2 linked regions of the Callithrix jacchus genome follow. The protein of the gene in region 1 purifies or fractionates together with the protein of each later gene. This does not show direct contact. Links are inferred from orthologs where the notes say so. Each region holds a gene or a part of one and is shown in the gene's direction. Other genes may lie near its edges.

Evidence for each region.
Region 2: the proteins of EIF4B (region 1) and EIF3A purify together in Homo sapiens (co-immunoprecipitation; 3 studies listed by BioGRID and IntAct, with this or other methods). This does not show direct contact. The link is inferred for Callithrix jacchus from reciprocal best matches to the Homo sapiens genes EIF4B and EIF3A.

Annotation. Positions count from the first base shown.
Region 1 is NC_133510.1:66,554,488-66,558,579, reverse strand, and holds the start of EIF4B (eukaryotic translation initiation factor 4B), read left to right. Parts: upstream 1-1,270; 5' UTR 1,271-1,293; coding exon of another isoform or gene 1,294-1,306; intron 1,307-3,576; 5' UTR 3,577-3,620; intron 3,621-4,092. UniProt on the Homo sapiens protein: Required for the binding of mRNA to ribosomes. Functions in close association with EIF4-F and EIF4-A. Binds near the 5'-terminal cap of mRNA in presence of EIF-4F and ATP.
Region 2 is NC_133513.1:112,008,918-112,012,520, reverse strand, and holds part of EIF3A (eukaryotic translation initiation factor 3 subunit A), read left to right. Parts: intron 1-139; coding exon 140-487; intron 488-1,894; coding exon 1,895-1,999; intron 2,000-2,080; coding exon 2,081-2,194; intron 2,195-3,603. UniProt on the Homo sapiens protein: RNA-binding component of the eukaryotic translation initiation factor 3 (eIF-3) complex, which is required for several steps in the initiation of protein synthesis.

The DNA of each region.
Region 1 (4,092 bases):
AGCTAGGTGAAGCACGGATAGCCCTGGGCTCTGAAATCCTAAAGGCCTGAGTTTTACCAAACCTAGTCAGTAAACTGGAGAATTAAGGGAGGTAAAAGCCATGGCAATTAAGTGTTCACCATTTGTTACCTTGTCATTCTGTCTAAACATGTCTCATTAAAACCATTCTTACAGATGTTAGATTTGTTTTGCCTTTACAAAAAGTAATTTGAAAACAAACTCAGGCCGGGGGCTCCCGCCTGTAATCCCGGCACTGTGGGAGGCCACAGAGGGAGGTAATACTTGAGCCCAGGAGTTCGAGACCAGTCTGGGCGACATAGGGAGACCCCCACCCCGCCCCACTCCGTGTCCACACAAATACTTGATTGCAGCTACTCAAGAGACTGAGGTAGAAGGACTGCTTGAGTGCCAGAGGTTGAGGATGCGGTGAGCGGAGACTGCGCCACTGCACTCCAGCCTGGGCGACAAGGCGAGACCCCGTCTCAAGAAATAAAAATAAATAAAACCAACTCAGTAATTTCTGATGTGGCCTTTAAAAACTAGACCGGGCGTGGTGGCTCACGCCTGTAATCCCAGCACTTCGAGAGGGCGAGGCGGGTGGATCGTCTGAGGTCAGGAGTCGAGACAAGCCTGGCCAACATGGTGAAACACCGCTTCTACTAAAAATACAAAAAACTAGCGGGTAATGGTGGCGGGCGCCTGTAATCCCAGCTGATCCGGAGGCTGAAGCAGGAGAATCTCTTGAACCCGAGAGGCGGGGGTTGCAGTGAGCCGAGGTCGCGCCATTGCACTCCAGCAGCCTGGGCAACAAAAGCGAAACTCCGTCTCAAAAAAAAAAAAACACCATTAAACTCAGAATCTTCCCTTTCTTAACATCCACTTATGGACACCCATTCCGAATCCATCAAGACGCGTCTCAGAGCAGAGTAAGCGGAACCAGCAGCGAAGCCCCGCCCTTGCCACCCCCTGCTCTGGCAGGAAGTCTGCGCGTCACGAGGCCGGCAGGGGCTTAGCTCCGGGCCCGCGTCCGCGTGTAGCCCTACGTAAAGCGTGAGGGGTTTCGCGACAGCCCAGGACCCACCCCTTTGGCCACATGTCGCGCATGTCTCCCCGTTGGACACTGTGCCACCTCGCCGCGCAACTTTACGAACCTAGAGCAGCGCCGCCCCGCCTCCTGTCTCCGTCCTCACCTCCCCGCCCCCTCCCAGCTTAGAGTCTCCTAGCCCGACGCGCCCACTAGAATCACGTGATTGCCTCATCCGGGTCCTTTGCGTTCTCTTTCCCTCTCCCAACATGGCGGCCTCAGGTGAGCGAGCAGCCGAGCGCGGCCAAGGACTGGGCTCTGAAACCCTCCTCCGAGCCTGATCCACTTATTTCCTGGAGTCGGGGAACTGCCAGCACCGGTTCCTTCCCGACTTGAGGGCTGCGGCAGGCTGGCGGCGTGGCCATGTTAGGTTGCTGCTTCGGGATGTTTGGGGGGAGGGGAAGGACACTTTCCCCTCCCCCTCACACTCTTTTCACACTTTCTGCGCGAGATTGGAATAGGCAGTAATGGTGGACTCAGGCTTGAATTGAAGAAGAAGGCGCAGAAAGGTGTGCGGGTGGTGCGAGGCGTTTTCATAGACGTGAAGCACCGTGCTCGCGTGAAGGCGTGGAGAAAGGAAGGAGGCGGTTGGTGCGCGGACGAGTGCACATTAGACTACGTCTACGATGCGCGAGGCGTAGCGGACCGGAGTCGGGGGCAGGGGAAAAGGGGGGGGCAGCAGTTAGAACGCCAGTGCGAGTCGGTGGAGGGGCGGGGGAAGGCAGCGGTGCGCGTGCGCCGTAGGAGATGCGAGGGTAGTGGAGACGGGCGCGCCTTCTATGCGTGCGCTAGAACCCAGATAGGAAGCTTTTACGCCCTGGTGTTGAGCTCTTCTTATGTCCTTTTAGGTTGTGCTCTTCCCTTTCTAGGGTGTGGCCCCGTGCCTGTACTTTTCCGAGGGTACGTCTGTTAGGCTTGGAGGTTGGTGCTATTGGAGTTAGATGGGGGTGGGGAACCCAGTATGGTGCGCCCACGTGTTGGAGAAGCACGGGTGTGCACCTAGATTTCTTTCTAGGTTTTTTTCTCTTACTCAGTTGGACGCATTTTTACTCAGCGCAGCTATATGCCAAGATGAGGTTTTCTTCTGGCGCTTCCATATTGGTTGAATTTGGATAGTTCCAGTGGTAGGTTTCAAGATTTCAGCCTTTTTTTTTTTTTTTTTTTTTGATAACTGTACAACCACCAGCAGGTACTTTTAAAATAATGCTTACTAGTGGCTGGAGTTGCTTACTTCTTTAGACATCTTTGGAGGGGAATATCAGTGCCATGCAAGCCTAGTTACATTTCTAATGGGCTTATAAGAGCATTGATGACCTAACATCTTGTAGCATTGATTTTAGTTTGGGGAATATAGTTTGTTTTCTCTGGCATGACCTTGCATTCTTCAAAACATTATTTGAACCTATCTTTGGGTGCTCATTTCTTACCCAGTAATTCATTTTCTCTATTACAAAGGAGATAAGGGTTATGGCTGGCTTTGGAAAACGTTGAGAAAATTGAGGTGCATTTGAACATCTTTCATTGGTGTAACACTTGACAGTTAACCAAGCACTTTTGTGCATGTTGTCTCCTTTGATCTTGAGGTAATGTAGAGAGATGGTGGTGGTTCCCAGCTGAGGAACATTATTTAAGGCCACACTGCTCTCAGCTGGCAGAGCAAGGTCAAAACCTTTGAGACTCCTTAGCAACTTAGAAGTACCAAGGTGTCATCTTCAGTTTTGGGCGCTGCCCGAAAGTGTCTGAAGTTTACAAAAGTTCATATTTTTTCTCCAGTGAGCTAGTAAAGTCCTAAATATATTTTAAACTAACCTTTGCATAAAGTACCTATTTGGTCTGGATTTGCCACCTTAACAGTTTAGTATCGTAATTTAGTGAAGAAAATCTGTGTTTTCTTAACTTTTGTGGAGCCTTTAGAGGCAGAAGACGACATGACAGCAATTCATGCCCTTCTTTTTACTGAGTTGAATGAAATTCAGACTGATTACAGGGATTTACTCAGTGACGTCCCATTCTCTTGTTCTTCCATATTTACCCCCTTGAAAACCCTCGTGTTCTTTCTTTCTTTCTTAATTTTTTTTAGACAGTCTCACTCTGTCGCCCAGGCTGGACTGCAGTGACTCGATCTCGGTTCACTGCCACTTCTACCTCCCGGGTTCAAGGGATTCTCCTGCCTCCTGACTAGATGGGATTACAGACGTCTGCTTTTTGTATTTGAAAACCCTCATCTGCTTTAATTCATTTTAGTGAATCTTTTTAGCTGGTACTGGTATTACTGGTATCTAAGCACAAGTCACATCTTTCAGTCTGCTCTTGAGGAATCTGGGGTTTATCAGATTTGTTTCCCCTCTCCTCTTCTCCAATCACATTAGCTTTGTGAAGTAACCGGTATTCCCTGATGTGGGAAGTGGATCTTGTGTATTCTCTGTGAAAATACATAAAACAACTTCATATCCCTCTTTAACTGTTAAATGAGACCAAAAAATTCTTTGCAGCAATACCAGTTTCCACTGTGACCCATTGACCTTCAGGAACTAAGGTAGGTGTCAGAACTGACTACAGAATGAGGATAGTTTGAATTCATAGAAACTTGTTGCATTGAGCCAGTACACTTAATTCCTTGTTTTTCCTTCTTAAAAAGAATTATTAAAGGCTGGGTGCTGTGGCTTACACCTGTAATCCCAGGAGGCTGAGGTCAGGAGTTCCGAGATCAGCTGGCCAACCAGTGGTGAAACCCTGTCTCTACTAAAAATACAAAAATTAGCTGGGCGTGGTGCTGGGTGCCTGTAGTCTCAGCTACTCAGGAGGCTGAGGCAGGAGAATCACTTGAACCTGGGAGTTGGAAGTTGCAGTGAGCCAAGATCGCGCCACTGCACTCCAACCTAGGTCACAGAGCAAGACTCCGTCTCAAAAAAGGAAAACATAATGGCCAGGTACGGTGGCTCATTCCTATAATCCTAGCACTTTGAGAGGCCAAGATAGCACTTTGAGAGGCAGATCATGAGGTCAGG
Region 2 (3,603 bases), on another chromosome or scaffold:
TTGGATAGTGTCATCTTCCCAATATCAAATGCAGATACATAGAAAGGCAGTGCATCAGGATTATTTTGTAATTTCTTTGATGCCTACTACCAGAGAATATTAATTTTGTTCATTTTTCAAAATTCATTTGTTTTCGAAGCAAGAAAAAGAAGAACAGCATCAGTTGGCGGTTACTGCATACCTAAAAAATTCACGAAAAGAGCACCAGCGGATCCTGGCTCGTCGCCAGACAATTGAGGAAAGAAAAGAGCGCCTTGAGAGTTTGAATATTCAGCGTGAGAAAGAAGAATTGGAACAGAGGGAAGCTGAACTCCAGAAAGTACGAAAGGCTGAGGAAGAGAGGCTGCGCCAGGAAGCCAAGGAGAGAGAAAAGGAGCGTATCTTGCAGGAACATGAACAAATCAAAAAGAAAACTGTCCGAGAGCGTTTGGAGCAGATCAAGAAAACGGAACTGGGTGCCAAAGCATTCAAAGATATTGACATTGAAGTGTGTAGCATTTTAGTCGTTAAAAAACTTAGTTTTATCCAGGTCTTTTATACGCTTAGAACCATAGTCCTTTGCCATTTGTTGGCTTATTTTGAGTTATTTTATGCATTTTGGTACAGCTGGTCATGACTAAATCTGTGAATAAGCATATGTTTAATCGCTCTGTGCAATTTGTTTTTTTTTTTGAGACAGAGTCTCACTTTTATTTCCCAGACTGGAGTGCAGTGATGTGATTTTGGCTCACTGCAACCTCTGCCTTCCGGGTTCAAGCGATTCTCCTGCTTCAGCCTCCCGAGTAGCTGGGATTACCGGTGCCCGCCACCACGTGCAGCTAATTTTTGTATTTTTAGTATACGTGGGGTTTCACCATGTTGGCCAGGCTGGTCTCAAACTCCCAACCTTAGGTGATTCACCTGCCTCAGCCTCCCAAAGTGCTGGGATTACAGGCTGAGTCACCGTGCCTGGCCTGCTCTGTGCAGTTTTAACCGCTATATATTAATCACAGGACAGGTTATGTATCCCTTACCCAAAATGCTAGGGAGCAGATATGTTTCAGATTTTGGATTTCTTTGGATTTTGGAATATTTCCATATACATATAAAGAGATATTTTGGGGTTTGGACCAGAGGCTAAACACGAAATTCATTTGTTTCATAAGACACTTTTTTTTTTTTTTTTTTTTTTTAAAGACAGTCTCACTCTGTTGCCCAGGTTGGAGTGCAGTGGTATATTGGCTCACTGCAACCTCCGCCTCCTGAGTTCAAGTGATTCTCTTGCCTCAGCCCAAGTAGCCAGGATTACAGGCTTGTGCCACCACGCCTGGCGGCTAGTTTTTGTATTTTTGTAGAGATGGTGGTGTCACCATGTTGGCCAGGCTGGTCTTGAACTCCTGACCTCAAGTGATCAACCTGCACTTGCCTCCCAAAGTGCTGGAATTACAGGTGCAAACTACCATGACTGGTCTGTTTCATAGACATGTTATACACATGGCCTGAAGGTAACTTTATACAGTATTTTACACAATTTTGTGCATGAAACAGTTCTGAATGCATTTTGACTGACCTGTCACATGTGTTAGGTGTGGAATTTTACATTTGTGGCACCATGTTGGTGCTCACCAAGTTTTAAAATTTGGAGCATTTCAGATGAGTTTTTGGATTAGGTTTGCTCACCCTATAGTAGAGTATGGGGAGATGTAAATTAGAAGAGTGAGAAAAAGATGTGTGGATTTTTTTTCCTTACGGTCAAATGGAAATAAGGCTATTTTATGATACTTTTACATTTCCTAAATTATCACCCATTGTAACAATAAAAGGAATTTAGGATTTTATTCTAGAAAACAGTGAATTATGTTAGGCATTGCTTGTTTATCCTTATTAACAATTGTGCATTCGTATTACCTTTCAGGACCTTGAAGAATTGGATCCAGATTTCATCATGGCTAAACAGGTTGAACAACTGGAGAAAGAAAAGAAAGAACTCCAAGAACGCCTGAAGAATCAAGAAAAGAAGGTAAATGAAAGATGGGTAAACCCTTAACATACCAAGTTAAAAGAGATTTGTAGAAACGACGTTTGTTTTCATGTCATTTAGATTGACTATTTTGAAAGAGCCAAACGTTTGGAAGAAATTCCTTTGATAAAGAGTGCTTACGAGGAACAGAGAATTAAAGACATGGATCTGTGGGAACAACAAGAAGAAGAAAGAGTAAGTTTTTAATTTAATTGTAATATTTTTAGATTATAATTAAATCCTCTGCCAGTAATGGAACCAAGGATTCAGAATTGCTTTCAGAATCTGTTAGAAATGGTGCTCTAATGGTTGCCTATTAACAGATTACGGGATTATGGGTGTGAGCCACCGTGCCTCCCCCAACCCCCTTCCCCATATTATTATAATTTTTATTTTTATTTTTTCTTTTACAAATTGAAAGATGGAAAATTTCACGATTTAGGTTACAAATGAGTCTTGTAAAACAAAGGATAACTGAAAAGCTCATTTTACAAAAAACTGGTTTATATACACTTTATTTATTTAGAGATGGAGTCTTTTTCTGTCACCAGGCTGGAGTACAGTGGCGCGATCTCGGCTCACTGTAGCCTCTGCGTCCTGAGTTCAAGCGAGTCTCCTGCCTCAGCCTCCAGGTAACTGGGACTACAGGCGCCTGCCACCAGTCCAGCTAATTTTTGTATTTTTAGTAGAGACAGGGTTTCACCGTATTGGCCAGGCTGATCTGGAACTCCTGACTTTGTGCTCCCAGCCTCAGCCTCCCAAAGTGCTGGGATTACAGGCGTGAGCCACCGTGCCCGGCCCACAGTCTAATTTTAAAACATATATCAAAAAGAAGTTCTAAACCCATTAGCAGTAGTCATCTTTGTTCTTCCTCACCAACCCTGCCTTAGGCAACCACCAAACTGCTACTGTCTGTAGATTTGCTGATTCTGGACATTTCATATAAATGGAATTGTGTACTGTGTGGTCTTTTGTAACTAAATAGGTCATTCTGTAGTTTTGTTAGTTTATAGTATGTATTACATTTACCTGATGATACAAAAACAGGGTTTTACAAATGCTTATGGCAGCAAATATGTAATAAAAGTGAGTGAACAGACCTGGTTTAACAAAGTAACCGTAGGTGGTAGACAAACATTAGTGTAGAGTGTGATAGGAGAATGCAGCCTTTTCTTGGTTTCATCTGGTGGTTGTCACCTGGAGATTAATGGGCCTAGGATTGCCAGCTCTTCACATTTTTTTTTTCAGGAAAAGTTGGAATTTTTGTGATAATTCTCTTAACATGTAAATATTAAAAATTAATTAGAAAAGTGCCGCACACGAAATTGGGTTGATTTTGAGCTTTCTGTTTTTTCACGTAGGGCAGAAAGGAAATAGCCTTATATTATCCTGCATTAAATCCTGGTGTTTTTAAGGATGAAAATGCCTTTAAAAATTAAACCATGGCATTTGTTATTACTGTGTCACATTATTTTATTTTACTATATATAGGTACACCTCGTTTCATTATGCTTTACTTTATTGTGCTTTTGTGTTACCCAGGCTGGTCTCAACTATTGCGCTCAAGCTATCCTCTCAGCTCGGCCTCCCAAAGTTCTGGGATT